Rhinolophus ferrumequinum: one gene and its partners. The protein of the gene in region 4 interacts with the protein of the main gene of each other region in a pairwise test. Links are inferred from orthologs where the notes say so. Each region holds a gene or a part of one and is shown on either strand. Other genes may lie near its edges.

Region 1 (7,586 bases), on a different chromosome or scaffold from region 4:
AATACTCAAGAATATTCATTAAAATAAGAGTAAAAATGTCCCTCCAAACCCTCTCCTCAGGTGGAAGCCTCTGGTAACAGTTTAGTCTGTCTCCTTCAACATTCCTGTCTGTGCATACATAAATTATCCATTTTTTCTCCATAAAAGTCAGCTCATCCTTTACATACTGTTCTGACTTGCATCATAGTATAAACATCTCCTACCTCAGAACACACACCATTTCCAGCATTCTTCTCAAAAGCAACACAGCATCTCATTAATGACGGTTCCCTTTGCTCCATAAATATTTATTGACCCCTATTGAGTACCAGGCACTGTCCCCGGAGCCACGGATGAAGCCAGGAACAAAACACAGTCCTTACTCTCAAGTCCGCCGTCTCCCAGCAGCCAGACATCAGGCTGTTCATGATGTTTTCATATGACATACAACAGTGCAACGACCATCTTGCATGGCTATCTTCTCACGCAGGTGTGTGTATTGCTATTAGGTAACTTACTTTAAAAGGAACTGTGTGCATGTTGAATTTTGATAATTATTGGCAACACTGAGGAGTGTGTAAGTAGGGGGTGACATGATTCAATGTACAACCGTCCACCCATCCATTTACCCATCCATCCCTGCATCCTTCCATCCATGTATTCATTTGACAACCATTTATGGAGTGTCTATCACATGGCAGGTCCTACACTGGGCATAGGGACACCCATGGGTGAGGTCTCTGACCGTGTGAAGTTCATGCTCTAATGAGAAAGAGAAATAAGTAAATAACACAAGAGTTTGTCCAGGTCCAGGTAAGGATTCTCTAGGGCCATCCTACTTTCTCCAGCTATGATTCTGCTCTACAGGCTGCAGTCCCACTCAATTCCTCTGCTTCCCTCTACTCCTTCCCCATACCTATTGCAGGGCTTATGCTCACTTACCTCCCAACTTCATGAACCTGGTGGCATTGAGTCAAATTCAAAACCCTGGGAATATTCAAAACGTTCTAATTGAGTAACTATCATTGCTCATCAAGTGCTGAGCTCTTCCTTGGAAGTGTGTTCCCTTTCTCGGAAATGTGTTCCCTTTCTCTTCCCGTTGTTCTGGCTCCACCCTGGTCTGAGCCACCAGTCTTCCCTTGGGATGGCTGTAATAGCCCCCTCACCTGGCTGCCTGCTTCTGTTCTCACCCTGACAATCAACCCATTCTCCACATTGCATCCAGAAGGAACTTCTGAAAAGTATTTTGGATCTTGTCACTAACCTGGTTACATCCTCCAATGGTGTCCCTTTGGGCTTTGAACAAAATCTAAACTCTTTCTAGGCCCACAGGGCCCATGTGAGCAGGCTCCTGCCAGACCCCATGCCTCTCTGTCCTCCCTCTACTCACTCCCCTCTGGTCCCCCAAACATGCCAGCTCCTGTCTCTGCCCCCAGAGCTTCCCGGGCTTGGGTCCCCTTTATTATTTAGGTCTAGGCTGAGCTAACACTACACAGAGACTTTCCTTGACCACCCCATCTAAATCGGGACCCCAGATCTGATCACCCTCTCTCACATTTCCCAGGGATTCCTTCTCCAGACCACTTGTCTGAATTATCCTGTGGGGTACTGGTTTCTTTATATGTCTGGTGAGGGCCTCAGAGAGGTAGGGCAGGCTATACTCAGGAATTGGCGGGGGGGGGGGGTGGGCAAAAGTGTGGAAGTACTGGCCTGAAGCTTCCTGCTGACCATTCGCTCAGATCCCCATATCCCTTCAGAACTAAGCCTTCTTCAGGCACAGCCTCTTGAAGCCCTCACAACATTCTGGAAAGGTTGGTATTCTTATTCCCATTTTACAGCTGAAGAAACTGTGGCTCAGCGATGGAAAAGTTTAGGATGCGTCCTTCAAGATTCCCTTCTATGCATGCAAAACCATACCCAAAGTTTGTGTCACCTAGGTGGTCAGTGTTGTGTCAGCCAGATTTGGAACCCTGCTGGCTCTAGGGCAAGTGGTCTTAGCATATCATACGGAACTTCTGGAGCCCCCAAGCCTCAGTGTCCTGAACCAAGGCCACACTGCCCATGTGCAGCAGAACCAGGATTCTAATCCGGGCTCGTCTCACCCCAAATGGAGCATCCTGTCCTGGCACCACACTCTCTCCCTTCTTCAGGCTCGATCTTGCAAATGAAGGAAGGGAAACTTCCTGGGTTCCCAGCCTTGAGGCTGCAGAGAGATGAATACCCGACCCGAGCTAAGTCTGGCAGCCAGGCCCCCACACTGCTTCCTGTTGGAGTGACCTAGGGTTACTCATGGTCATAGCTGAGGAGCCTGCCAGGCCTTGGGACATTCTTGGTTGGCTCTCTCCTCTGAAATCCCCTCCTAGGGGCAGGTAGCCACAGGCTCTTCCCCTGTGGAGCAGGCCCAGCCAGGATTAGTGAGGAGAACACGCCCCACAGTGTGGGTAGCACAGCATAGCTCTCTAGAGCCTGTGCTCCAGCGTCAAGACAATACTCAAGTGAAATAAACTCCCCAGCCCTCAACTTCCTTGCTGTAAATGGGGATACATAATAGCACTAGGAGTTACTAGTGTTCGTCTTCTTCTATCTGGCTGTGTTTTCTAAATTATGGGACAAACTGGAGAGAGATATAGGTCGCTACCCCTTTTATGGCTGAGAAGCAGGAAGAAATTAGAAATCTGAGTTCTCAGTTACATGTCTGGACCTAACTCATCCCCAAATCCAGTCGATTCTGTCTCTAGAATGCCTCTCAGACCCATCCTCTCATTTTCCGCCAGTGCTGAAGTTCCACTGCCATTATCTTGCCTGGATCACCACAGTAGGTCCCTCACCTCTTTCCCATCTTTTCCCCTCTGCGTTAACTGCAGCCAGAGCGAGCTTCTTACAACAAAAAGCAAATCTGTCTGGGTCACATTCCTGCTCAAAATGTGATGGCTCCCTTCCTTACTCTGTTTTACAAGACTCTGCAAGATCCAGCCACTGTAGGCTTTCCAGCCCCATCTCTTCTTGCCTCACTCCCACCCCTGCCACCACCACCAATCGCCAAAATGCAGCCAGATGGGAGGTACTCATAGCTTTGGATGGGCACTGCTCTCTGGCCTGCTAGGCCTCTGGAGGCTCCTCCTGCCTGAACCCAGCCTAACTCACCACATACACCCTAACTCAGGGTGGCTTGGATAATTTTGTGCCAGAAGCCTTCTGAGTTCTCTTCCCAACCCCTCCACTGCTTTCACTGAGCTCCCCCAGTCCTCTGTAAGTCACCTATGACAGTTTTCATCCACTATATTTGTCCCTGTCTGCTTCTCTACCTGTTTTTGAGCTTGAAGAGGTTGGAGAGTACAGGCCTACTAGACTCACTACTAGGTCCCAGCCTAGCTCAGAGGAGATTGCTCCTAAACATTTGGGGACTGAATGAATGAACTACAATATGTGGAAGGCCTAGTAGGTACGTGGTTTCCTTAGCGGTCTCTGTACCTAGGGCAGTTAATCTAGTCAAGGAGGCCAGCCATAACTAGGTAAGAAACTAACCAACAAAAGGTTTAATTAGCAGCTTGGGGTGGAAGAAGCTGGGTCCGTCACAGGTAATGTGATGAACTGCTCCAAATCACCTCCTTGGCGAAGGCTTTGCAGACACTTCTCTCCTCAGTGCTGAGAACTAGATTCGGAGGGTGTAAGACCTGCTTGATCTAGCACCCGCCACCTCTCTGAGTGTGTTTCCTGAAAAAAATGGGACTTGGCTACCTTACAAGACTGATTTAATGGTCAACGAGCTCGTGTCTGGGAGGATTCTGGAGGGCCATTCCAGCCATAGTGTTCATATTGTTTCTTCTCTTCATTGTTTCTTCTTTTCTTCTGCTCGCGCTCTCCTCCATGCCCCGCCAACCCCGGCTTCCCGCCCCGCGACCTCCCACTGCCTTTCCCGGGCCCCTCTCTCTTTCCCTCTGTTCGGCCGGGACCCAGGAGGCGAGCCCAGCCGCGCGGCGCACCAATCCGAGCATCCCGAGCCACCTCTGCCTCCTCAAGTCCCGCCCCCACGCCACCGTCCACCAGTCACGCGCCGCACCCGTCCCGCTGGGCCACCCAATCGCGGGCGGGCCAGGCCGCCGGCGTCCCGCCCCTCCTGCGCTCGGCGGCGGCTCCGCGGGCGGAGGTGCTGGGCCTCCGCATTCTCGCACCCGCGTTGGGAGCGCAGGCTACGGCGCTGCTGCTCGCGGGGTGCTGGGCAGAGGCGGCGGGCGCCACCGGCCGGCCGGGTGGGCGCCTCAGCTTCTCCGGGGCCCGCGGCGCGGGACCCAGGACTGAGCAGGAGGCGGCGTCCTCGCTGCCCGGGGCCCAGTGCCCGCCGGGAGGGCTCGCGGCCGGACGTTCCCGGTCGGGGGTGTCCCCGACGCGCCTCCCGGAGAGGCCCCCAGAGCTCCCGATCGTCCTCTGAGGGTGCCCTCAGCCTCCCCAGACTCACCTGCGAAGGCCGCCTGGCACCCAGGTGCGGGGGCGTGTGCGCAGCGAGGGCGCCTCCCCCGGCCGCCAGCGGGGCGGGGGCGGGGCCGCCTGCCGCCCTCGGCCTCACCGGTCAGCGGGTCGCCCTCAGTCTCACCGGTCCGCCCGCCGCGCCCGGTCGCGCGGCGTGAGCTCCGCAGGGATCGCGGCTCGGGATGCTGCCCGCCAGCGCGGCCGCTCGCGCGCTGTCCGCCACCCCTGCCCTTGCCTCCTGGGCCGTGTCCCGCTGTTTACATGCCGGTGAAGCTCTCGGCCACTCCGAGCCCCTCCGAGCCCTGTCTCCCCGAGGGTGAAGCCAGCCGGCCCGCGAACTGGACTGGTCGCTCAGACCTGGGCCCTCCGGACTCAGATCCCGGTCTGTTCTGCTGCCTCCGCCACCATCTGGGCGGGATCCAGCTCTGGTGTTTTGAGGAGGGGGTGTGGTGTAGGGAAAGGAATCCTGGGGATTTCTGGCTCTCCCCTTTTTTGGGCCTTCGGGGCTTCAGACTCAGGGAACTCGCTCATGGCTTTCTTGATGAAGAAGAAGAAATTCAAATTCCAAACCACTTTCACCCTGGAGGAGCTGACGGCGGTCCCCTTCGTGAACGGGGTCCTCTTCTGCAAGGTCCGACTGCTGGATGGCGGGGATTTTGTCAGCTTATCTTCACGGTAGGAGCTGGGGCAGTCGTGCTTGCAGAGGAGGGAGGTGATGAGCGAGATGTAGCCACTTGGCGAGTGTGGAAGTGCCCCTTGGGGCCCAGAGAGTGTTGAGGATTATGTGTGTTTGGGGCAGGTTTGCACAAGGCAGGGCTGAGCGATCTGGGAGGTCTGGGCCCGAGGAAGCTGGCAGGGTGCCGGCACCCATCTGCAGGTGAGCTGCCAGATACCTGGGGGTCTATTTTTTCGGCCCTCCTCTTGGGGCCCTACCCACAACCTGCTGTAAGCCCATTCTGCAGACTTGCACAAAGAGCCCAGCGGGGTTTGTGCCTTGAGTGGCTGAGATGGGGAGGAGTGTTCCAGGCCACCTTGAACCCAGCTGGCCACTACGGCTGTCATATGATTGAGCACCCTGGCCAGCCACAGGTTCCCAGACACTCCCTGCTCTGGGAAGGCCAGGCCCCAGGCACTCCTGGTCTGTCTGGAGGGAGGTGGCTAGATTTTGACCTGCCCACCCCTTCTGAGTGACTGTCCTCTTCTGGCTGGAGCTGGGCTGCTTTGCATTGCAAATGCCCTTGTCAAAGAGGCTTCAGCCGGCTCTTAAAGAGGCCTGGTCAACTTTGGTGTTGTGTTCTACCCCATCCTGCAGGTCCAGTTGCCCAGCTCATTGCTGAGGGCTACTGAGTTCCCAGGCTACACCCACTGACTGGGCCCACCTGGGGTCACGTAGTCCTGGCCCCTCAGGCAGAGTGCCTTGGAGTCTGACAGATGGGGGTTTGAGTGCTAGCTCTGTCACTTTCTGCGCCCAATACAGGTCTGTGTCAGAGAGTTGCGGAGATGTTGATTCAGTAGATAGAAGGCGGTGTAGGGCCTGGCCCAGGGCCTAGGACATGCTGGTTCCTTTCCCGGCTCTGCCCCTCTGCTCTGTAGGCCCAGATAGCTGGAGCTGCATAACGGTTCTGAGATGGGGTGCTTGTTACAGATGGAGAAACTGAGGCCCTGAAAGAGAAAGTAAGTGGCTTGCCAGGGACCTCTCAGAAGGCAGTTGTCAACTGAACTTGGCCTGTTTGGAGACGTACTGGATGTATCTGGTGGTCTAACGTTCTGTTGGGAGGAGGGGAGGGGAGCCACGCAGCCTAACCCAGATTTGGGACTCTGATGTGGACGGAGTAGGGTACCTTTTCCGTGCATTTGGGCCTGCTCAGGTCTGGGTTCCCCAGGCTACTGGGAGTTGCTTATCTGAGGAATTCAGACAAGGGCTGCCCTTTGCTGTGGGGGTGGTGGGGTGAGAGGTGGTGTTCTTGGTTGCCTAGGAAGCCTGTGATCCAGGGCCACCCACACAGCAGCCCAAGGTTTCAGGGAAAGAGCTGTGCTCATAGCTAGGGCCTGGGTTCGAGCACTCACTGACTAGGTGACTTCAGGCAAGTTACCTAACCTCTCTGATTCCAAGAACCAGCAATTATTGGTGCTGTGCTCCCCATTTTCCTAGCACCTCTCACTTAGTGCTTTGACTATGCCATGGAGCAGGGTGGAGGTAGGGTGGGTGGGCTCCTGTAGGATTATTATTCCCATTTTACAGAGTCGAAAACTGAGGCTGGGAGAAGGAGTGATTTGCCTGAGTTAATACAGCAGAGCCCAGATTCAAAGTTAGGATGTGCTTTTAACTACTGTCTGGTTCTGCCTTTGAGCCTTAGTTTCCTGTTATGTAAAATGGGAGAGGTCATACCTAGAGTTGTGAGGGGGAATGGATAATGTATATGCCACTTCTGGCTCAGACAAATTGTTGCAGCAGTTGTGGTTTTTATGGCAGAGGAGCCCAGCCCTTACCGCTCCCAGGTCTTGAATGGGGGAGGAACAGCTAGAGACCGCAGGGGGCCTACATGTCAGCTAGGGTTGGGGCCAGGATCTTGGATCCCACTGAGGAATTGGTATTCAGCCCTAGGCTGAGGTCTCTCCTGGCATCCCAGGCCCTGGGGCCACTGTCACCCTACCTGTCAGCTTTTTCATTGCCATAAATCTGCCCCCTCATCTGGGAAAGTCTGGAAAATTCCAGGTCTTGGCCCACAGTGTCTGGATTTCACCTCTGCCTCCCCTCTTCCCTCCTGGCAAGGGGCCATGGATTCCCTGAAGGCAGCCGAGCCCGAACAGCCTTTCCCAGCTCTCATCCTGGATGAAACCTGAGTGGGGCTGGGCGGGGCGGAGCTGACATGAGTCCCCCAAGGCTGGGCACGTAGTGGGTGCTGGGGACCTGTTTGCTGCTGTGCAGTATGGCTGGAGGGAGGAGAGACAGCACTTAGGGGATGCTGGGTACCTGTTTGCTGCTGTGTGGCTGGAGGGAGGAGAGACAGCATTTAGGGGGTGCTGGGTACCTGTTTGCTGCTGTGTGGCTGGAGGGAGGAGAGACAGCATTTAGGGGGTGCTGGGTACCTGTTTGTGCAGTATGGCTGGAGGGAGGAGAGATAGTGACGTTGTGACCT
Region 2 (7,415 bases), on a different chromosome or scaffold from region 4:
GCATGACAACACTGCAGGGTGGCTGACACGTCACCAGGCACCTGGGCAGGTGTGCAGAGAAGCAGCCCTCAGCCACGGCCCGTTCCAGAAGCCTGCCCGGGTCCTCTGGAGCACAGGCCCCGAGGGGCAGAGGTCGTGGACCCTGACCCTGCCACTCGTGTCCAGGCCCCGCCCACCCACCTGCCAGACTCGCAGCCTACTGACAGAAGGCCTCTGTCTATGGCCAGGTCACTTCCCTGGGAAGAGCCAGGCCCTGTCCCCTCCCAGGCTGACCCGTTCCACCCAGCTGGTCAGCTGGCACAAAGCCACAGCCATGCCTTCACCCCGCCCACACATCCTGGCAGGGCCTTGAAACAGCCCATCAGGTGAAATGCAGGACATCCAGATACTGCAGATTTCTGCAAAGAATTTTCTAGCATAAGTATGTCCCATGCGTTATTTGGGACGTACTTATGCTAAGAAATTGTTTATCTGAAACCCAAATTTAGCTGTGCTTGCAGAATCGGGCACCTTTGGAAAAGGCTCTGTTCTTAGGGTTCTGAGTGGAGACAATGGGAGTCCCTTCCTAGACTGTCCCTGCAGTGTCCTCCAGGCTACAATCCACTCAGGGACCAGAGGGCCCGTCTTCTAGATGGCCCCTCCCCAAGAAAGCAGCACCTGGGAACAGGATGCTGACCTGCCAACACCGCACACACTGTGACACCAGCCCTGCCGGGACCCAGGGGATGGCACGTCAGGGTCCCCGCCCCGAAACCAAAACCAAGGCTAAATGCAGTTTCTTCCACATTTAGGGTCTTCCCAGGGGCTGACAGGAGTTCAAAGTGGAGCCTGTGGTCACACTTGCGGAGCGCCACTTGAAACTGGGAGGAGATCCCACAGCACCCTCAGAGGGGCACACGCAGACTCAAGGCCAGCCAGGCCTCCCCAGGAGCCCTTGCAGGTCAGAGAGCCCTGTCCACACCTCAGGGAAACTGAGGCAAGGGAAGGTTGGGGGGTGGCCGGGCCCCTGCTGAGTACTCAAGCAGGTAGGAGACCTAGAGGCTAAGTGACACAACCCACACGCAAGGGGAGACCCCAAGTCGGGGTCCAGGGGCCCAGAGCCTGGGAAGGGCCAATCCCAACAAGCAGGCACAGTGGAGGCCCCACAAGGCAGAGGCGGGTAGAGGTGCCTGGGCAGGGCCAAAGGCACAGTGGCTGCAGCCCCCACCCTGCCTCCCCCTCAGCCTTCATTTATTCTGCACTCAGGGCCAGACGGGATGCGAGGGTAAGACCATGCCTGCAAGAGGGGATTCTAGCTGGTCACCTCAAGGGGGCAGCAGGTGGGCTTCAGGTCACAGGGACTTGTTCCCATCAGCAGGTGCCATGGGGGCTTCACAGAAGGTAGGAGGGGATCTGTGTGGCACAAAGGTGGTCCAGGAGGGTGCAAGGGGGGACAGCATCGAGAGGGATGGATGCAGGAGCCCTGAGCCACAGCAGCTGGGGGTTGTGCAGAGGGGCTGGGGGGTGGAGAAAGGTAAGTGGCCCCCTGGGGGTCCAGGGCAGCAGTGATGGGGCCTTCCCTAGGGTGTGGTGACACTCCTGCCTCCCCAAGGTGGGAGATGAACGGGCTCCTCCCTTACAGGGCCCCTGCACCCTGCCTGTTCCCTGTTTCCCCAAGGGCCTGCTGCTAAGTGGGGTGCAGGCCCCCATTCTAGAGACCACCTCTGAACCTGAGAGGGCAGAGGAGGGCCGGACAGCAGGCAGGTGCCTTGATGACCCACTGCACAGATGGGGTCCTGGTCACAAAAAAGGCCTGGCTAGATGGAGATGTGTCCCAGACACCCAGGGGTCAGCAGGCCAGTGAGGGGGCAGACTGGGGGCAGAGGTGACTTGGAGAGCCGGGCAAAGGTGGGCAAGTGAGTGTCTGACAGTCTCAGAAAGATTGAACATCGATGAAATGGGGGGCTGCAAGGTCCCTCACCTCCCTGTGGAGAAGCCACCTGAGGACCAGCTCAGAATTCCATGGAAATCCAGAGGCACAGAGTCCCTGAGGACCCTCCCCACAAAGTGGGGCAAGGCCCAAAGGTAAGGGGGGTTCCTGGGGCCCAAGAGGGTGAAGCCCCCAGGGCCCCAGCCTGCTCAGCACAGTCCCCACCAGGGCAGAAGGGCAGGGGTCACCGGCCTCTCCCCAACCCTTGCAAAGCACCTCCCTGCTGGCCTGGGGCACAGGAGGCAGTGAAAAGTTTGGGGGTGCTTTGGAAGCATCCTGCTGAGGATCCCAAGGGATCCTGCTAGGGAAGCCTCCAAATACACACGCAGCTCTCAGGTGTCCCTGGACCCTGGGGAAATCGTGGCCCAGGCCTGGGGCTCCCCATCCCCACAGGGGCCTACGGCCCCCAGCATTCCAGCCAGCCCTGCAGGCCCAAGTCTCCTGCTCCTGGGAGAGCAGACAAGCACCTCGCAAGACCACGTGCTCCAGCTCCGGGAGGGGGCTGGCCAGGCCCCAGGCCCAGCCCTGGCTGCCAGGCCCGAAAGGATGCTTCGGCCTCTCCCCAGGGCCCCCAGGTCACGCAGGCGCCCCAACAGGTGGGCAGAGCCCCGCTCCCCAGGGCCCAACTCCGCCACCCCCACTGTCCGCAGTCGGGGCAGGGGTGGAAGTGGAGGGGCAGGCTGCTCGAAAGGTGGGGGAGGGGAGCAGGGGTGCGGGCGTCGTGGGCCGATCGGGCTGCGCGGCCGGGCTGCGCCGGTGGGGTGGGGGAGGGGAGGGACATTGGGGCCAGGACCGGGTGCGGCGGGGCGGGGATGGGGCCCGGCGGCGGTTTAGGAAGCGCGGCCTGGAGGGCGGGGGACGGGGGCCCGGGGGACCGGGACGGGTCGGGGCGGCGCGCAGGGGATGGGGGCCCGGGGCCCGGCGACGGCCTTACCTCCGACCCTGTACATGTTGGCGGCCATGTCCGGCGGCGGCGGGGCCGCGGGCTGCGCGGGCGGCGGGCGGCCTGGAAAATGGAGGCGCGGGCGGGCGGGCGGGGGCGCGGCGGGCGGGCGGGCGGTTTAAAGGGGCCGCTGCCGCCGCCGCCGCCGCCGCCGAGGCCGCGCAGGGACCGAGGCCGCGGCGGGCGGGAGAGGAAGAGGAGGAGCGGCGCGAGCGGGGGAGGGGCCTCGGCGCCGGCGCCGTTACAGCCGCCCGCGCCCCCCCGTGGGTCCTCCCCAGCCCCCAGGTGGGTCCCCCCGTTCTTACTCCGTGGGTCCTCCCCGCGGCCCCCCAGTGGGTCCTTCCCCAAGTTCTCGGGAGGCGTCTCCCTATTCTCCCCCCCAACGCCTGTGGTTCTTCCCCAGCCCCCTGGTGGGTCTCCCTGTTCTCCCCACACCGTGGGCCCTCCCTGGAGCCCCCAGGTGGATCCCCTCCAGTTCTCCCCTCGTGGATCCTCCCATTGCTCCTCCCCAGAGGGGTCCTCCTACAACCCACTAGGGTGCTCCCTATGTCTGGGTCCTTCTGGCATCCTCAGCGTCCCTTACCGGGGTGGGTCCTCCCCACTCCCCATCCCTGGGTCCACATCTTCAGCGTCCCTTCCCACAGCATCCCCACCACACCCTCCACAGCCTCCCGAACCCTTCCAGGGGCCTCCCACCCCCCCCCATTACCCCCATCTCCGGTGGGTCTTTTCCAAGTCCTCCACTGCCCTAAAGCCCAGCAGCCATGCTCTGGCCTCACGATGGGACCCATACCTCCCTTCAAGGCTGCTGTCTCCACTCACCCTGGGTCTCAGGCCTTGCCGCTCATAACCCATTCCCCCAGCCATGCTCACATGTGGGGGTGTCCCCACCCCACTTCCAAGTGAACCAGTTACTGAGCTGGCATGGCCTCCCTGGCCTGTGGTCTGATGAAAAGGCTGCAGGAGGGCAGCATGTATGCCCAGAGGACACCCTCTGGAAGACACATCTGAGGCTGGGGTTCCAGCAGGCCTCACTGACCCAGACTCAGTGGGTTGGGATGGCAGGATGTGCCATGCCCAGAAGACAGGAGGGCTGGAAGGGCTGCCTGTGTGCAGTGAGGCACCTGGCTCTCCTTCCCACACCAGTTGGAATCTGGAAGTCTGTGTACTTCTTGCTTCAGGTCCTAGGACAGTGGAGAGTCTGGTTCATGCAGTGCCGGCAAAACCAGGGTCCTTATGCCCCCAGGGGAGAGAGCATGAAGCAGAGAGGATGGCGTCCCAGCCATAGTGTGGAGACAGGGTTGACAGCACTGCTGGGGGGTGAGGGAAATAGGGTGCTGGGGTCTCCAGGGATCTGGTTTGAGCAACACCTGAGTTATCTGTTTACTCACATGGGGCAGGTCTGTGGCGGGGGGGGGGGCATGTCCAGTTTGTGGGACATGGAGGGGCTCTTTCACGGAGTGGAGCTCAGGAGAGGCTCCCGGCTCAGCACAGGATGCCACGTGGTAGAGGAGACCCCCCCATGGACAGGTCCTTACAGGGAACTATCGAGGTGGGCAGGAGCCCAGAGCGTGTGCTGGGATGAAAGCAGGCAGAGGTCCCAGGAGAGCAATGGACTACATGCCACGTGGTACCACCATGGGCCACCATCTCTCAGGAACTTAGCTGGAAAGGGCAGCGAGGGGGTGAGACCACAGTTGTGATTGATGGGGGAGGAGCTTAGGTATAGGACACAGGTGTGATACTAGGATTTGATATTCCAAGGGGAGGAGAGGCAGTGGGGTGCTTCCCCTCCCCCCCACAGGCCTCTGTCCTCCCTTTCTGGCCTGCGACTCCTCTGGAAAGCAAAGCTGCAGCGTAAAATCCTCCACCAACACCTCACAAAGTGACCTAGGAGTCAGGACAACCAGAAGGTGACCAGGCAGCCATCATGCACAAGAGCTTCTGCCTCCCTCCCAGAAACTGGAGGCCTCAACCTGAGAGCAGATGCCATGGGCACCCAGCCTACTGTTTCCCTCTATCCAGTGGGGGTGAAGGGAGGAAGGGCTGCCTGAGAGTGGACAGTAAGGCCTCTGAGGTCAACCGGTGTCTGAGGGAAGACACCAGAATTCCAAGTCTCCCCTAAGGTGACGTGCCTGTCACAAAGCAGAATGACATTTAATAGTGTCTTGGGACACCGCAGCCCAGCTCCTCCAGCTGGCTCCCACTCTTGACTGACAAAGTGGCTGCATGTAGGACTAAGGCCATAAACCAGTTCCGCCAAGTCAACACATCTGATACATTGCAAAAAAGACGAATTCCTCCGTTTGGTAGCAGAGCAAACAGACTCGTCAGAGCAGGAGTGATGTGAAGAAGGTCAGAGCACATCCGTGAGTCAACAGCAGCAGCAGAACAAGGGGGAGTGAGGGGCAGGCCGACGGGGCTGGGAAGCACTGGAAGCTTCTGGAACAGCACTGGACAGCACTGGAAGCAGGAGCGGGGCTCAGGAGGAGCCCGAGAACTAGAGACATGGCAGCAGGGCCAGAGCAGAGGCCCCCCTGTGGAGGGGCAGGATGGCAGGTCCCTGATACAGGAGTGGCTGGATGAGCAATTAAAGCGGTTCACTCAGCACCGACTTCAGGCCACACTGTTTCACCTGGGAGACTCCCTCTTAGGGGCGCAAAGTCTAGGGGAGGAGGGAAGGTAACGAATGGTGTGATGACATCACATGCTTTCAGACAGTGACCATGGCGAGGGGCACTGCTTGCTTAGCGGTCAGGACACTGGTGAAGGAGGCGCCCTTGGGGCCCGCTGGGAGCCTGTGTGAGAGTTCACGCCACAGTCTAGGAAAGCCCCCAGCGTGACCCACCCGAGACCCGACTACCAGTCACTGACCCTCAAGGACGGAGAGAACAGAGAGGGCATCACAGACCAGGACGTAGTCAGGCCAGCCCTGGTCTCCAGCAGCGCCCGAAGTATGAACAGGAGCCTGGGGCAGGAAAGCAGAACCTAACCCTTCCCCAGCCAAATCCCCCCGGGAGTAGGGAGGCCCCAGGAAAACATTTTTAAACCTGGAAGAAACCAAGAAATAAAATTCTTTAAAAATGTGAAAGCTACCTTACATCCAACCACTGAAGACATGATGAAGTCAGTACGGACTCAGGGCTGAGTGGTGCAGGGGACCATGGGGAGTCCGTGGGCAGGAAGGACACAGTCACAGGACACAGGAAGCAGGAGAGCCAGCTCTGGCTAATGGAAGCATGCTGCCTCAAACCAAGTGACACTCGTCCCATCATGGTTTTTGTAATTTCTAAAAATAATCTTAGGAGCATCTTTGAAACTTGGGGTAAAGAAGCATTCACATTTCACTGACCATGTTTTCCCTTAATGCTTTTACTTAAAGGAGTAGCTCTGCACGGTCTCTGTGTGTCACGTGACCGCTCATGCTTGCCTGGGCCTTTACAACTACCTGCGTAAACTTTATCGAACATCGACAACAATATCTCGGTGATGAAATCGTGGGCAACACTTTTTAAACTTTATTGTTGGCTTGTGGAATAGTGAGTGTCCTCGCAAAGCCAATGAAGTCCTTTTTTTCAGTGGGGGCAGTGCCAGGCAGTGGCTGTCCACTGGCCCTCGGAGCGCAAGCTACACCTCCCAGGTGCCCCACTGGTCCTGGGGGCTGGGCTGAGGGGGCTCCCCTTTCTGCTTGGCGTGTCTAGAGCAGCCTCAGACCCTGCTCCACACCGGCCGCAGAGGCACAGACGGATGCCAGGGCATGAAGGGGACCACATGGCCAGCCCAGAGCCTGCACCCGAGAGACTATGTCCTCCCTCCAATCAGGGGTGTCCCCGTGAGTCCCGGGGAGGTGCATTGCTCTTCCTAGAGCTGGGGAGAGACATACCTGGTCGGGAATCTGAAGTGAAAGAACAGTCTAGAGTGGATACGGAGATAGCACTGCAGTACCCGCTGTCAGAGGTGGCCAGGAGTGACATCCTAACCACGCTGATTCTGCCTGCCCTGCCTGCTGGGTGGACCTTACTCTCACCTGGGCTCCTGGGCTGCCTTATACCCTCCTCGGGGGACACTGCTGACATTGGAGGCCCGCTCATTCTTGGTTGTGGGGACCGTCCTGTTCTCTGTGGGATGGTGAGTAGCACACCTGGCCTCTATTCACGCGGTGCCAGGAGCCCCTGTGGAAAGCAGAGTGCCTCCCCAAAGGTGCACATGTCTGTGACTGCACTGGGTTACATGGTAAGGGACAGTGCAGGTCGCTAACCAGGCGACCCGAAAGGGACCCGGGGTTATTTATGGGGTGGGCCCGACAATCACAGGGTCCCTAATGGGAGAGGATGCGGAACGGAGACAAGATGTGATGATGGAAAGGATCATAGATGCTACGTTGTGACTTAGAAGATGGAGGAGAGGCCATGAGCCAAGGTGTGTGGGTGCTTCTAGAAGCTGGAAAGGCGAGAAACGATTGTCCTGTGGAGCCCCCAGAAAAGAAGGCAGCCCTGCCCACAC
Region 3 (7,112 bases), on a different chromosome or scaffold from region 4:
ATAGAACCCCACTGGGTGGTGGGGTGGGGGGCTACATAACCTTCAATGGCCAGAGAAAAGCTGTCATAAAGAAATGCCCTTATGACCCAAAGGAATTATCCATGAATTCAATGTGGGGTAGAAGAGTGGTAAGAAGAAAAGATGTTCCATTAGAGGAAGGAGAATGTGTAAAGGTCTGGAGGCAGGAGAATTATTGGAATTGTAGGTGAATTCATAGGACTGGAGTGGCCCAGGAGCTCATCAGAAGCTATACACCACAAATACCACCTGGGGTGTTTTGAATTGATCCTGAAAATGGTAGGGAATCTTAGAGGAGCTTTAAGTAGAGGTGTGACTATGATCATTTTTGTGTTTAGAAATCATTCTGATGGCAGTGTAGAGTGTAGAAAGGAGGGAAATGAGACAGTTAGAGTATTTGTTGTGATAAGGGATAGTATCCTGAGCTAGAGTGAGAACAGTGGGAATGGAGAGAAGTGGATATATCCTAGAGAATAAGAGGGTAGAACTGCCAGACAATATAACATTAAATATGTGACATGAGAGGCACTACCAAGGGAAACTCCCAGATGTTTGTCTGGGATAACTGGAGTGATGGTCCTTTTCAATGAAACAACTATTACTGGTTAGATGTTCGAAAAGTTCTTGTGAAGTAAGAGAAAGGAGAGAAGGTTGGAATGGTTTCGATTTGCATTCATTCATTTGGGCATGTTGTCTACTTGTGCCAGGTATAAAAACGGGGAAAGTGAAAGAAGCTCTGAAATAATAAGGGAGAGAAATGGAGGGAGAGGTGGAGAAAGGAAATGACAACTGGGAATTCCTAAGGCCCGGTCAAGTTTCAATAACACGAATTAGTAATGGGGATGAGAGTGTTGATTATGACATTCTTACAGGAACCCTGGACAAGGAGAGAGCAGAATCACAGAGGCAGATGTAGATGGTAGGCTGAGCCCAAGCTGAAGCATATGGGGCAGTGTGGGTAAGTTTATAATAAAATATAAGAGGGCAGGCAATATCTGGGACTAATACAAGCATCTCTAAACTGCCTCCCCATGAGCACAGGATGAATAGGGAAGCCAGAAAAGCCAGAATGGGGCCAATGGGAAAATAAGGAAAGAGTGAAGTGCTAGAGGCCAATAGACTGAGCATGAAGGACAGTTAGACAAATAGGATGCAGTCATCAGAGAAAAAGTCAGCGTTCAAGGGATGGCAGTAATGACAGTCCAAGAAATAAGATGGATCCAGATGTTGTGAAGCAAGACTGTTGAAAGTATCATGAATATGAACATTGATGTTCAAAAAAATGAGGTCCAAAGGAAGACTGTGTGCAAGGTAAGAGTCATGTTGGAGGTCAGGAAACCACGAATACAGGATGGGTAAAGAGCAGAGAAGTGAAACTGGTAAGAGCTCGTGGTCAATTGTGTGGAGGAAAAGACAGAGTCGGGGGGGCTGAGCATGAAGAAGAGTGCTTTTCTTCCTTTGATTCCAGAGATGTTGTCTGCATTAGAAGGAAACTGGTATTAGCAGGAGAAAACAGGATTGTGTAGTTGTCATGAGAAGGGAGAACCATTCTAGGAAGAAATTCATTTTCAAGAAAATAATACGTTACAGTAGAAGAGTTTTCAATGACATTTGTTTTTCTTTCATTCCACTGGTCATTGTGAAGCAGGTAGATAAGGGAAAACAGGGATGGTTGGAGATAGTCAGGGATACGTGACATACGAGTTCCGACAATTAAGTTCATGAACTCATCCTAGAAAAGGTACTACATACTTCATTGCTGAATATCACTATGGTGACCTTTGAAGTACCCCTCTTGGGAAGCTATGCTCCGACACCAGTGCCTAGTCCACCCTTCAAAGCAATTTTGGAACTCTTTTTCTGGAATGGTCATCAGAGCTGTCGTTGTATTACACTTGATGTCCTGAATGTCATCAAAATGTCTTCCTTTCAATATTTCCTTTATCTTCGGGTAAAGAAAGAAGTCATTGGGGGCCAGATCAGGTGAGTAGGGAGGGTGTTCCAATACAGGTGTTATTTGTTTACTGGCTAAAAACTCCCTCACAGACAGTGCTACGTGAGCGGGTGCATTGTTGTGATATAAGAGCCATGAATTGCTGGTGAAAAGTTCAGGTTGTCTAACTTTTTCCCGCAACCTTTTCAGCACTTCCAAATAGTAAACTTGGTTAACTGTTTGTCCAGTTGGTACAAATTCATAATGAATAATCCCTCTGATATCAAAAAAAGGTTAGCAACATCATTACAACAAGTTCCCAAACTTAATTGTCAGACCTCGTCCATCAAGCAACATGCTGAAAGGGACACAAAGCAAAGTTGTCCCCTTGGTGGCAATTTTTTTAAACAAACCCAATTGAGGCTCTTCTGAGTCATTAGCACTTTTAGAAACTCCAAAGTAGTTTTAAGTTTATTCTTTAAAATTTGGGGGTCCCATCATACCATGTTTCCCCAAAAATAAGACCCAGCCAAACGATCAGCTCTCATGCGTCCTTGGGAGCAAAAATTAATATAAGACCCGGTCTAATAGTAAAATAGGACCGGGTCTTATATTAATTTTTGCTCCCAAGGACGCATGAGAGCTGATTGCCCGGCTAGGTCTTATTTTCGAGGAAACACAGTAACTCCTAAACATCTCCACGATGAACTCTCTGAAGACATTTTCCCTTTGAAGGTTATTAAAGTGCTTATCGAGACATGTTAGGCAGAAATTAAACTAAAATAGGAAGATCATTCCCTACCAGTTGAGGCCTGAACACAGAAAGTTCATTAGTGAAACAAATCAATTCAGAAAACTTTTCATTTCTTATTAAATACATACCACACATTAAATATCAGAAAGCAATGACTAAGAGGTGGAGAAGATTGGAGGTGTATATTCAAAAGGTTTCACCCACACCCTGTTTTGTGGTTTTTACCTTGATGCTGCCACCACACCTACGAGTTTCGCTTATTAAAATAATAAAGAGGTAGAATGACTAAAATGTGCTGAACAGTACATAGAGATAAACGCAGTCCCTCAAAGGCTAAACCTGACAGACAAGATCAGTATTCAATTTGGAGAATATCTGATGATGGTAACAAATATTTTTCCCAATCTGGTCTATTTGTGTATGCCGGCATGTGTAGTTTTATCTTCAACTGAGCTTTGAAAAAAATTAATCTATTTCACTTACAAAATGTTGACATTAAAACTGAAGATAAAATGGGAATAAATTGAGGCAGGTAATCCAAACCATAGATAGAATTTTAAAAAATATTTTACCGTGTTTAAAAGACAACAGCGATTCATAAGTTTCAGACAGCTGAAATCAATGATTCAAGTTTTACATGTGTGGGAAATATAACTTACGCAACATCATGTGTACAGAAGAATGTGATGTGTGTGTGTGTGTGTGTGTGTGTAAAAATTCAAAAAATAGCAGTCATCATATTAGCTACTATTTACAGGGCACTTACTATGAGCTAAACTTTTTATGTTATATAATGTAATTTGGGTATCCAGACCAGGTAGATGCCTTCATCCCTATTTCACAGATGAGTACATGGAACCACTGGCATGCAAAGCAACAGGTTACCTGTCCGGCATCCACTGCCAATAGGTGTTGGAGCTGAGCCATCTGACTCCAACGCGTGACACTGTCCTAGTGATATTTTAAACACCCCACTGGAGTCCCATTTAAAGTACATCCACTCCAGTTTTTAGGTGTGACTGGTGACCTTGATTTTACCTTCTGAGTCACATCTCCAAGACCAGTTTGCATTTAAATTGAGGAAAGTGGGGTAGAGGAACTGGTGACAGTTGGGGAAAGGACAAATGGAAGAGAACAGGTGGAAATTAGGAAGAGGGACAGAAGGAACAAATAAGGAGCAAGGCGGGGGAGCCGGGCGTTGAGAGGCTCCAGGAGCGCAGCGCGCCGGCCCGCGGAGCCGGCAAGGTGAGCCCAGCAGGAAGAACCGCGCCAGGTGGCGGCCGCACCTTTGCACGTGACCCGCGCGGGCGCCAGGGCGGTGTCGCGCTCACCTGGACCCACGTGACGGGGGAGGGGCTCTGCGAGGCCCCGGGCGGCGCGGCCACGCCCCCAACCGCGCGGCGCTCCCGGACCCGGCGGACTGAGCAGTGGCGGTGGCCGCCGGAGCCCGGGAGGTGGAGGCGGGCGGAGGGAGGCGGCGGCGGCGGCGGCGGCGGTGGCGCGCAGGGACGCAGCAGCGGCAGCATGTCGGCCGGCGGAGGGTCAGTCCTGCCGCCTCCGAACCCCGCCGTGTCCTTCCCGGCGCCCCGGGTCACCCTACCCGTCGGCCCCGACATCCTGCGAACCTACTCGGGCGCCTTCGTCTGCCTGGAGATTGTAAGTGGGGCAGCCTCGGCGAGAGTCGCGCCCGGGGAGCGAGGACTGGCACCGGCATCCTTGCCCCCCGTGCTGTCTCCCTCTGCGCGCGCCCCCAGCTCCCTTCCCATTAACGGGGCCTTTTCCTGCGCCCCCCGAGGTCTCCTCGATGCCCAGCGCAGCCTGACCCTGGCGATGCCACCCGGGCCTTCTGGCCTGGCACCTGTTAATGCTGGCACCTGTTCCCCGCTGGCGATAGAAATGGCCCCGAGAGCGCGAGCAAGTGGCCCGGTGGGACCGAGGATTGGGGACTTTGAGAGGGGAATGGTGTTTGGGTTTAGGGGCCCGTCAGAGACCCCCCGCGGCTTGGCCCGGGGCCGCGCTTGGCTGGAGCCTGAGCAGGCGCTCTCAGCCTTGCCTGTTGCTAACCTGCCATTTTGTTGGGTGGTGCAAAGGTGCAGCCGATGACTGGTGACCAGGAGGCTGCCACGATGTGCAAAGCGGGGCCCGGAGGTACCAGGAAAAAGAGGAGGAGGGCTGAAGACCTGGGTCATTGCCCCCCTTGCCACTCTGAGTGCCCTTTGCATCGAGGAGAGGAGCAGGGCTCAGAAAGCAGGGCAGGAAAAAGGTGAAGTGTGTACTGTTCCCTTGGTAGTTTCTAATCGAGTGGGCGTGAGAACGGTGAGGGGAAGGTACAGACGTGGCTGTCAAGTTCATTGCTGCCTGCCTTTGTGCCTTCTTTCTTCCTAGCTTACCGACACCACTCCACACCTCAGAACACTTGGTCGGGCCTAAGTGAAGGTGAGGTCACCTGGCCTGTCCAATGCAAACTTTTGGGGCTGGAGACTGGGAATTCTTTTAAAGGAATTTTATGGAGTTGGAAGCTTTTGAAGCTGCCGTGAAAGGGAAAATCTGCAAACATGAATTGGGCAACCGGAGGTTACATCACACCCTGAGAACGACAAACAGAGTGAAATGTCAGTGCCTCTCCTGCAGGCTGCTTTGTTGGCTCCGTTTGGGCTTTTCATATCTCTCCCCTCACCCCTTCCTTGTGAGTTTGCATAACCTGGATTTGGGTCGCTTTGGTTTCTCTTTTGTGCTTGTGGGGCTGGAACACCATGTTAGCATTGGTTTTCTGCCCTATTATGCTAAGGTGGTCAGGGCACCCTAAGTTAAGTTTAGCTCAGATTTGAATCTGAAAAAGGAGACAAGTGAGTTACAGGCCACGGCATCAGTAATGGGATGGTGACTACGAGACTAGGAGAGGTTGGTTTGACTCAGCCCGGTTCCCAAGCATCTGAATGCTTCCGTGAGGCGCAGGCGTCCATGTGAGAAGCGCAGGGAGTGGATGGCTTTGGGCCGGCTGCACTGTTGTGCAGAGGGAGAGGCGTTGCGGGCAGTTAAGATAAAGAGTGAGATTGCATAGGTTCTGAGCTGCTTTGGTTACGTGTTCCCCAAACTCCAGTTGTCTGCATACCTCTTAGAAGGTTTTGTCTTATCCGCATTCCACTTGTACTAGAATTTACAGAATGTTCTCTTAAATAGATTCACTTTCTAAACTTAGATGCCTACCTCAGCCTCATCCTAAGCAATAATGTATGTGAATTCTCAAATTTGATATGATGGTTCTGTGTTTCTAATATTCAAATATATAATTATGTATTTACATATACAGATACATATATGTATATATGGAACTATATGTATGTGAGATATATATATATATAAAACTATGTATATATCTCACATACGGATAGCCATATATATATACATGTCAAGCTTGACCTGTATATATATGGCTAATCCATGTGCTATCAAGTATGTGAAGCTTGACATGTATATATATATGGCTAATCCATGTGCCATCAAATCAAGTACCATCTCAAGAATCACCTGTGGTCATGTGACACTTTCAGAAATACTACCTAATTCTGAGGGAAGAGAGTTATTCTATTTCCTCTCCCCATATCTCTATATATCTAGCCCAGTGGTTACTTGTCAACTCTTGCTGTACTTAATTACTTGGGCAGCTTTTTAAAATACTGTTGCCAGCCCAGACTAATTAAATCCGAATCTCTGGGGGAGCGCCCAGAGTTGGCTAGGTTTTTGTCAAGCTCCTCAGAGGTTTTAATGTATAGTCTTGGCAGGGAACCACTGAGGGAAGCTTGTATCGGGGCTCTGTGGACAGGACAGCTCCTCTCTTGCAGATGTGAACTCTCTCTGCTAGAATTTCTGCCACGCCCATCCTAGGACGGACCCCAGACTCACAGAAGTATCCAGTCCATTCCGCTTAGCTCTTCATTTCCTCTGGCTTCTTACCCCCGAAACACATCTACGGCCCTTATCTAGATATAAAAGCATCCCTTCCAAAAGCCATTTCCGTTTACTTTTCACTATGGCCAAACATCGTGATAGGTTTAATTCTTAGGCCTCCATTTATCTCTTTTACTTGAATAGTCTCTCTCCTCCCCATCTTACCCCAAAAAAACTAAAAGGACCCTAATATTCCAATGAAAGTAGTGAGCATAGAGAAACGAGACCACACTGGAGCCAAACTATGGCTCCTTCTTGGTTGTCATCCTTCTGTACCACGTGGAGATACTGGGTTATATGCTTTCAGAGAGCAAAGATGAGGCTGCCTCGGTACCCCTCTATCTAGAATGCCCACACTGAGCAGATGCACAGATAGGAGCTAAATAAACACTTTTGAGGCAACTTTGGTCCCTGCTTTCTTAATTTCCCTCTAGTTTTCTGATCCTTTAAAGTGTTCAG
Region 4 (7,573 bases):
CCCCTGCAACTAAGATTGAACACGGCACCTTGAGCTGAGCTGCCGCTGAGCTCCCTGATGGCTGTTGGTTGGAGCTCATCCTCTCAACCACAAGGTTGCCAGTTTGATTCCTTGACTCCCGCAAGGGATGGTGGGCTGCGCCCCCTGCAACTAGCAATGGCAACTGGACCTGGAGCTGAGCTGCGCCCTCCACAACTAAGACTGAAAGGACAACAACTTGAAGCTGAACGGCACCCTCCACAACTAAGATTGAAAGGACAACAACTTGACTTGGAAAAAAGTCCTAGAAGTACATATTGTTCCCCAATAAAGTCCTGTTCCCCTTCCCCAATAAAATCTTTTAAAACAAAACAATAAAAAATAATAAGGGAGAATGTTTTCCTGCATCAAAAAACTCTCAAGAGAAGCATCTCATAATATCACAGCTGATACAGGAATGACCATATGAGCAAATAGTTCAAGTCTTTGGACAAATATCTTTAAACAGTCAGAATAAGTTTAGAAGCTTGCACCTGCTAGGAAATCTGGCTTGGAGAAATCCAGTTTATTTTGGGTAATCTACATATGTTTTGTACAACATATATACAAGTAAAGATCGGGGATTTCTAAAGAACTCAGCTGTCCATAGATGAAACCACCCTCCGCACTTCCAAGCTGGAAATATAAGGAAGGTACCCAGAAGACTCATATTTCCATTCTACCCATTTCAAGACACTATCATTCTGAAGCTTTCAGTTACCAAACACATGGATTCCCATGCAATTATTGGTATGGATCTGACACCAACTTTGATGCAAGTAGAACAGACCTTAGGTCAACCAAGAGGGACCTCTAGACTGTTCAAAGATACACATACAATTAAGACACATTCACATATAAACTCACCACTGCTCTTTATCCTGATATTATACCCCACCTAATTTTACTTGCTATTAAAATATCCTTTCCTTTTATAATAGTACAGTCATAGCAGGTGATGCTTTTTTTTACTTTTTAAACATTCTTACTGGGTCAAATGACTGTCCATGACAATCAGTCCCAACTTTATTTATATGAATTTTATGTCTTTGTGAAATCCCCAAATCTGGAAACAATTAGAACAGTGGTTCTGCCCCGCAGGGGCCCTTGGCAGTGCGTGGATACATTTTTGGTTGTCACAACTTGGGGAGGTGGGGTTGCTACTGGCATCTATTGGGTGGAGGCCGGGGATGCCACTCAGCACCCTCAAGTGCACAGGAGGGCCCCAAAAGTCAATAGTGCTGAGGTTGAGAAACCCTGAATTAGTCCAGTTGATGTCCCTGCCAACTCTTAATTTATTCAACCAACACATATCTATCCGACACCTACTATGTGCCAAGCATTTTGCCAAGTGCTGGGAGTCAAGCAGAGGGGAGGGCAGTCTAGTCTTCTTTGGTACACCACACTACGTATGGGGGGGGGGCTGTTAGGTGCTAGAAAACCCCTTCCAAGACACACAGAAGAGAAAGACAGGTCTTCACCTTGTATATCCACCAGGATCAAGAATCAGGGAGTCGCAGCTCCCTGACATTCCCACCATCCAGGCGTCTTACCTGGGCTTGCCCTGACCCGCAGACGCAGCTGTGACCCTGGGCCTCAGTTTCCCTACCCGGCCAGAGGGTCGCTGCAGGGTCCAACTTGCTCAGTGGAGACTAATGCAACCTTCAGAATCGGTCCTTTCACCTCCCTGGGCCTCAGTTTCCCTTCCTGGCCACACCGACCCGTCACCGCAAAGGGCCCTAGAAAAACGAACTTAACGCCAAAGCACGGGGAAAAAATGGTCGCGGCTGCAACAATAACGTCAGGGAGGGCGCCATTCGGGTCGCAAGGCCCTTCCTCGAGATTGTAACGACCTCACAGACCGAACGCACCGCGCAGAGAAGCGGCCCGGGATCAGTAGGCCCTTCCGCCCCCAATCGCCTCCTCGGCCCGCACAGGCCGATAACCGTATCCCCTTCCCCTCCGCGCGGGCGGAACTGACCTGCGGCCGCTCCCCTAGGGGCCGGCGCCCCGCACTCCAGCTGTTCCAACATCGCCCCGGCGGCGGCTCGAGCTCCCCTCGGGCGGCGGAGACGCTGGCTCCACTCCGGCGGCCGCGACTGCTCGCCCTCCCGCCCGCGCCGCTGCTGCCGCGGCCGCCGCGCTCGTATTTGGCGGGAACCGCTGCGACCCCCGCAGCCCGCGAGCCGATTGGACGAGGCCGCATCACGTGACGTCCCGCCTCGGGAAGAAGGGAGCGCTGGAAGCATCCTCGCGAGATCCGTGGCTTCCCTTCCTCCCCCTTGGCTCCCCTTTTGATATTCCCGCGGAGTGGCGGTCTTCCTCCCGGCGTCTCGTCATTGGCGGGCAGGAGGCGTTCTTCAATTGGCGGTGGAGAGTGTCAAGCTGAGAGATCGTCACTGTGATTGGCTGAGTGCGTGGGCTAGGCCAATAGGCGAGAGGGCCAGGGTCATGACGAAACGTTTTACGTGCAGCGGCGTCACAACCTGAAACTGCGATTTAGATGAAGACTGAAGTTGTGGGTGTATCCTAATAGGACATCCGCTAAACATACCAACAGCAATTAAAACTTTAAGTTACTTTTTATATAAACAAAAATAAAGTAAAATCTGGGCAATACTTCAGAAGCATTTGATACGCAGTAAATATATTCAGAGGGAATTAATGAAATGGATTTTTCTGGTTTAATCCTCGGGATTTTTGCACACGCTGTTTTCTCAACTAGAAAGCTCCGTAACTCCTTTCCTGTCTAATTTCTACCTATCTTTCAGATCTTAGATTGACACCTCAGAGAAACCTTTTTTCCTTTACCCCCAACAAAAAGTGCCTACAACGTTCTTTTTCTTGAAGCAATTACAGCTTATGTTTATGATTAATCATAATTGTTACATGATTAATAACTGAATTTCTGTTTTTGTCATTAGTTTCATGAGGGCAGTAATCATGAATCACTGTATCCCCAGGACCTATCAATGACTAATACATTAGTAGGTACTCAATAAATACTTGCGTGAATGCATAAATATCATTTGGACTGTGTGATCCGTGTAGGTTAAAAGCCTCACACACAACACTCGGTGTCAGCCTGCAAGCCTTAGAAACAGGTTTACTTCAGCAAAAATTTAATCTCTCAAGCAGAGCAGAAGACTGAAAGGGAGTCCAAATTTGAAATTCTATTGATACTATAGATTGAATAAAATTAAATCAGTAGAATTAGTTGGAAGCAATCTGGAGAAATTGAAAATTTGGGGACATCAGTTTGGGCAACTTATGTCTTACTAAAGTCCTCAGTTTCCCCATGTGAACCCTGAGGACGTTTTCTCTCTCTTCTCTGATATTTTGGCATTATGCAATGATTTAGACCAGTGGATTATGCAATGTTTAGACCATGGATCACCGTTGAGGGTGTCCATCATAATCACAGGGGCTATTTTTTCTAATCATTCATAGTAGCCTCATTAAAATCTTTGGGAGGGAGGTGGGGGCATGCATATTCTGAAAAAAATCCTCTGATGTAGTCCATACCTTCTGTTAGGCATTTGGAAACTTTCAGTACCCTTCTGCTTCAGAAAATGTGTCAGAGATTTCAGCACTGAAGTTGCAAGCACTTTAGCTCTAGTCACTTTCTTGTTCCTCTTTTTGGATTCTTTACTTGTTCCAACTCATTATTAATTTCAAATTCATTCAATATGTTTTCATCAATAAGAATTAATTTTAAAAGTCACTGTTGATAAATATGTATCAATCCGGGAAGGCTTCCTGGAGCAGGAGACATTCCAAGCAGATTCCTCTTATACACAAATGTTGGGGGGGGGAAGATTAGAGAAGAATGTGCAAGAGAGGTACAACTTTAGCAAAGGCCCACAGGCAACAGGGATCATGGACAATAGAAGAGGAAGAGAGCCGAAATCAGAGGGTTGACTGGGCCAAATTGTGCAAGCTTTGTAGGCCATGTTAGGAAGTTGGGAATGTATTCTAAGGGCAGTAGGCAGACTTTAAACAGGGGACTGTGATCTGAATCATGTTACAGAGGCATATTTCTGGCTTCCTGGTAAGGGATGAACTGGAGGGGGAAACCTGAAGGTGGGCTCACCAAAGAAGAGGCTGCTGGTGCAGTGGTCTGGTCAGGGCAGAGAGGACAGTGGGGATCGTGAAAAGGAAGTAGAAGCAACACCCTGATGTCTGACTTGGGCAACCGAATGGATGAAGATGGGGCAAGGTTGGGGATTAGACAGGAGGGACTAAACGCGTAGATGAATTCGGTATAGCTGAGATTAGCAAACAGGTATCTGGAGACTGAAACCCAGTCTCCCAACCTCTCCAGAAAGGCTTAAGCGCATTTCCTAAGACGTTAGAGCCACCTCCGGCACTCCAGGGGACGCTGCATCCGCCAGGGCCGCTCTAGGCTCGCCCGGGTCCACTCGCTGGCAGAAGCGGCCGCTCCCGCAGCAAGCGAAGTGCGCGTGCGCCTTCCGGACAGCAGGGGGCGCGCGTGCGCAGACGGGGCCGGAAGTGTGCGGTTGCCATGTAATATCCTGGCCGCGCGGGCGCGCGACGGGCTGAGGCGGCGCAGGGGTGGGAGCGGAGCTGGCAAGAGGGCGGCGGAGGCGGTGCCGACGGGGCCCGCTGAGGCGCACGGGGGGTCGGCGGCGCCCGGGAGCCTGTCGCTTGCGCTGTCCCTCCGGTTCGCTGGGTCCCGGCGGGAGGTCGGACGGCGGAAGGCAGAATGTCGGTGGCGGGGCTGAAGAAGCAGTTCTACAAGGCGAGCCAGGTAAGCGGAGGCCATAGCTAGGGCGAGTCCCGGAGCCCCGGCTTCCCGGAATTAGGGGTCGGGTTAGGCCCGGCCCTAATTAGGGAGGTGGCCGGGGACACCGAGGGCACGTGTCCCTCGCAGGGTGGGGAGAGCCCAGGAGGGCCGGGGGCTTGGTGCGAGGTGGCCCAGGCCTTGCCTGCCATGTGGGCTCCAGTCTTCTCGAGAAGGATGGGCAGACCCCTGGCTGGGACAGAGAGAGGCACCCAGAGGTTGGACCGGGACGTGGACCCCTCCTCGCCTTCCCTGGAAAGGGCCGGGTGGGGGAGAGAGAAGAGGGAAGAAACAGTCCCAAGGCTGTGGACACACGACTCTTGCCAGATAGCGCAGGGGCAGGAAAATTTTGTGTCTAGAACAACTACTTAAAAACACCAGCAACAAAAAAATCTCTTTCAATGGACCCGGTACAAAGTTGAAAGGGTAGAGGGAAAAGTCAATTTCTCACTCCAGGCCCTCAGGCATTCAGTCCATCTCCCTCAGAGACAAGGACTGTCACCAACGACTTATGTGTGTCTCTTTCCAAGGTATATGTACGCCTTCCCTTTAAAAACACACACAGGTGGTGTAGCATAGTCCACATAGTCCTATGTACTTTGAGTTTTTTGTTAAATCTGTCTTGGAGATCACACTAAAGCTGGAATTCTCCACCTTGGGTCACTCTGTGGTTGGGGGGGCCGTCCTGGGCACTGTGGGGTGTTGAGCAGCATCCCTGGCCCCCACTCACTCATAGGAGCAGCCTCCCGGTCGTGACAACCACAGATGTCTCTGGTCGCTGCCAGATGTCCCTGGGGGAACCCCTTCCTTCCTCTCCCCCAGAGTTATTGCACTAGAACATACCCCTAGGGCTTCTTGGATCTTTTTAATGGGTTTCTGGTATTCCATTTCATGACGTGTACCATAATTAATTTTATCAGTCGTTTATTGATGGATGTTTATACTGTTTCCAGTAGTTTTGTGCTATGAACAATACTGCAGTGAATAGCTAGCAAATACCTTTGCTCACAGGGGGGATTGGATTTATAGGATAAATTCCCAGAAGTGGAATGCTGAATCCAAGAATATAGGTGTTTTATATGTGATGGGTAGTGTAGGTTTTTTGGGAAGTCGGGGGCAAGAAGCCCTGGGTTCCTTGAATACTGCTAGTCCCAGCATCGCATCCCAGCTTAAGAACCATAGGTGTGGAGTTTTTATGAATAGACTCCATAGAGGAATGAGTGGTAATCCTCCAAATTGTCTAGGCCATGCTGGCCAACTGGGCTGTACTCCCAATTTGAAGAGGGCCAGTGGGAGGGAAGAAAAATGCGTCTCCAGTAACACATGCTAGTACCTTTTGCCCCCCAAGGGGAAAAGTCACAACCGTAGTGGTTGTCTAGAGCTAAAGATATTTGGAGTCTGTCTGTAGACCCCAGATGTTGGCTAAACCCTAGAGGAAGAGAGACTTACTCCCGAGGGATTCTGAGATTGTTGCTGAGAGTACAGCCCTTTGACCTAACAGGATGGAATGAAGTGACCTGGTCCTGGGTTAGACCCTGCCCAGCAGACAGCAGACCGCTGGGTGCTTGACTGGATGTCTCTTTTCTGGGAAAGCTGCTCACTGTCTTGGACCCCAATGTAGTCCCTCTTGCAGGACTGATGTTTCCATAGTTCTTGGAAGAATTCCTGGGCCACTTTGTTCCTTCATGCAGACAGGTCTGTGGGAGCCCTCCCTGTCCCACCCCCAGCTATCAGGGCCCATGCTGGTGGCCCATCCCAATCAGACACATTATGCCAGAGGAACTAGCTGGGCCTTTCAGGCCAGCCACCAGAGCTTTTTCTGTCAGGGGCAAACAGGATGGCCTGCATTTAGATCTGTGACGAGTGCTTTGAAACCTGACAAGCACAGTGCAGTGTAAGCTGGTGGTTCATTTCAGTTTATTAGCTGAGGCCCAGCCTCAAAGAACTGCTGTGATGGCCACGTCCTAACCTGCATGGTCGTCTTGGCCGCCTGGTCAATTCCAGGTTGTGTTGTCCTCTCAGGAAATCAGCCTGGCTATGTTCCATTCTCTTCTGCAATAGTTTCCACGGTCCTCTAGCATCTCCATTGTTTATCTGGCTGTGTTCATCTAATTGTGTTTCTTTCTCTTGGTCTAAGGAATACCTCTTTCATCCTCTTCTATGCCCTCAGAATAGGGTTGTCCGTTGAAGAGGAATGTCTCTTGTTAATGTAGTAATAATATTTATTGAATTCTTAGTGTGAACAGACAGTAAATGCTTTAAACCAGTCCGTCTCAACTGGCCTCACTTATCTGGCCCAAGGGTAAATGTATTCCCCTTTTTAAACAAAAAGATTTGGGGACATTTATCCTCCTCTAGAACAGTGCTTTTCAACCAGGGCCACTTCCGCCCTCCAGGGGACATGGGCAATATAGGGAGACACTTTTGGGTGTCACACCTTGGGTTACTACTGGTATCTAGTGAGTGGTGGCCAGGGATGCTGCTTCACACCCTACAGTGCACTGGGCGCCCCCACAACCAAGAATTCTCTGGCCCCAGATGTCAGCAGTGCTGAGGTTGAGAAATCCTGCTTTCAGGTGCGAGAAAAGTGAGGGCCATTGTACAAAGACAACAACAAAAATCCCACCTGAGCCACTCTTGTGGCAGCTGCCAGCGCTTCCCAGTTGTTAACACACAGATAACCACATATACACAGATGGACATGTACAGAAAACTCAGCATCCACATCCTGAGAACCCCAGAGTGTCTTTG

What was found.
Region 1: the proteins of SH3GL1 (region 4) and EEIG1 interact in binary tests that used the Homo sapiens proteins (3 or more experiments, as listed by UniProt). The two-hybrid records come from large-scale screens. The link is inferred for Rhinolophus ferrumequinum from reciprocal best matches to the Homo sapiens genes SH3GL1 and EEIG1.
Region 2: the proteins of SH3GL1 (region 4) and MTA1 interact in binary tests that used the Homo sapiens proteins (3 or more experiments, as listed by UniProt). The two-hybrid records come from large-scale screens. The link is inferred for Rhinolophus ferrumequinum from reciprocal best matches to the Homo sapiens genes SH3GL1 and MTA1.
Region 3: the proteins of SH3GL1 (region 4) and MAL2 interact in binary tests that used the Homo sapiens proteins (3 or more experiments, as listed by UniProt). The two-hybrid records come from large-scale screens. The link is inferred for Rhinolophus ferrumequinum from reciprocal best matches to the Homo sapiens genes SH3GL1 and MAL2.

What each region holds. Positions count from the first base shown.
Region 1 is NC_046295.1:76,982,832-76,990,417, reverse strand, and holds the start of EEIG1 (protein FAM102A), read left to right. Parts: upstream 1-4,582; 5' UTR 4,583-4,975; coding exon 4,976-5,121; intron 5,122-7,586. UniProt on the Homo sapiens protein: Key component of TNFSF11/RANKL- and TNF-induced osteoclastogenesis pathways, thereby mediates bone resorption in pathological bone loss conditions.
Region 2 is NC_046289.1:457,107-464,521, forward strand, and holds the start of MTA1 (metastasis-associated protein MTA1), read right to left. Parts: upstream 3,001-7,415; 5' UTR 2,932-3,000; coding exon 2,904-2,931; intron 2,566-2,903; exon of another isoform or gene 2,212-2,565; intron 1-2,211. UniProt on the Homo sapiens protein: Transcriptional coregulator which can act as both a transcriptional corepressor and coactivator. Acts as a component of the histone deacetylase NuRD complex which participates in the remodeling of chromatin.
Region 3 is NC_046297.1:57,713,789-57,720,900, forward strand, and holds the start of MAL2 (protein MAL2), read left to right. Parts: upstream 1-4,097; 5' UTR 4,098-4,229; coding exon 4,230-4,361; intron 4,362-7,112. UniProt on the Homo sapiens protein: Member of the machinery of polarized transport. Required for the indirect transcytotic route at the step of the egress of the transcytosing cargo from perinuclear endosomes in order for it to travel to the apical surface via a raft-dependent pathway.
Region 4 is NC_046301.1:59,306,462-59,314,034, forward strand, and holds the start of SH3GL1 (endophilin-A2), read left to right. Parts: upstream 1-4,560; 5' UTR 4,561-4,744; coding exon 4,745-4,789; intron 4,790-7,573. Other genes in the region: CHAF1A (chromatin assembly factor 1 subunit A), read right to left, coding at 2,000-2,267. UniProt on the Homo sapiens protein: Implicated in endocytosis. May recruit other proteins to membranes with high curvature.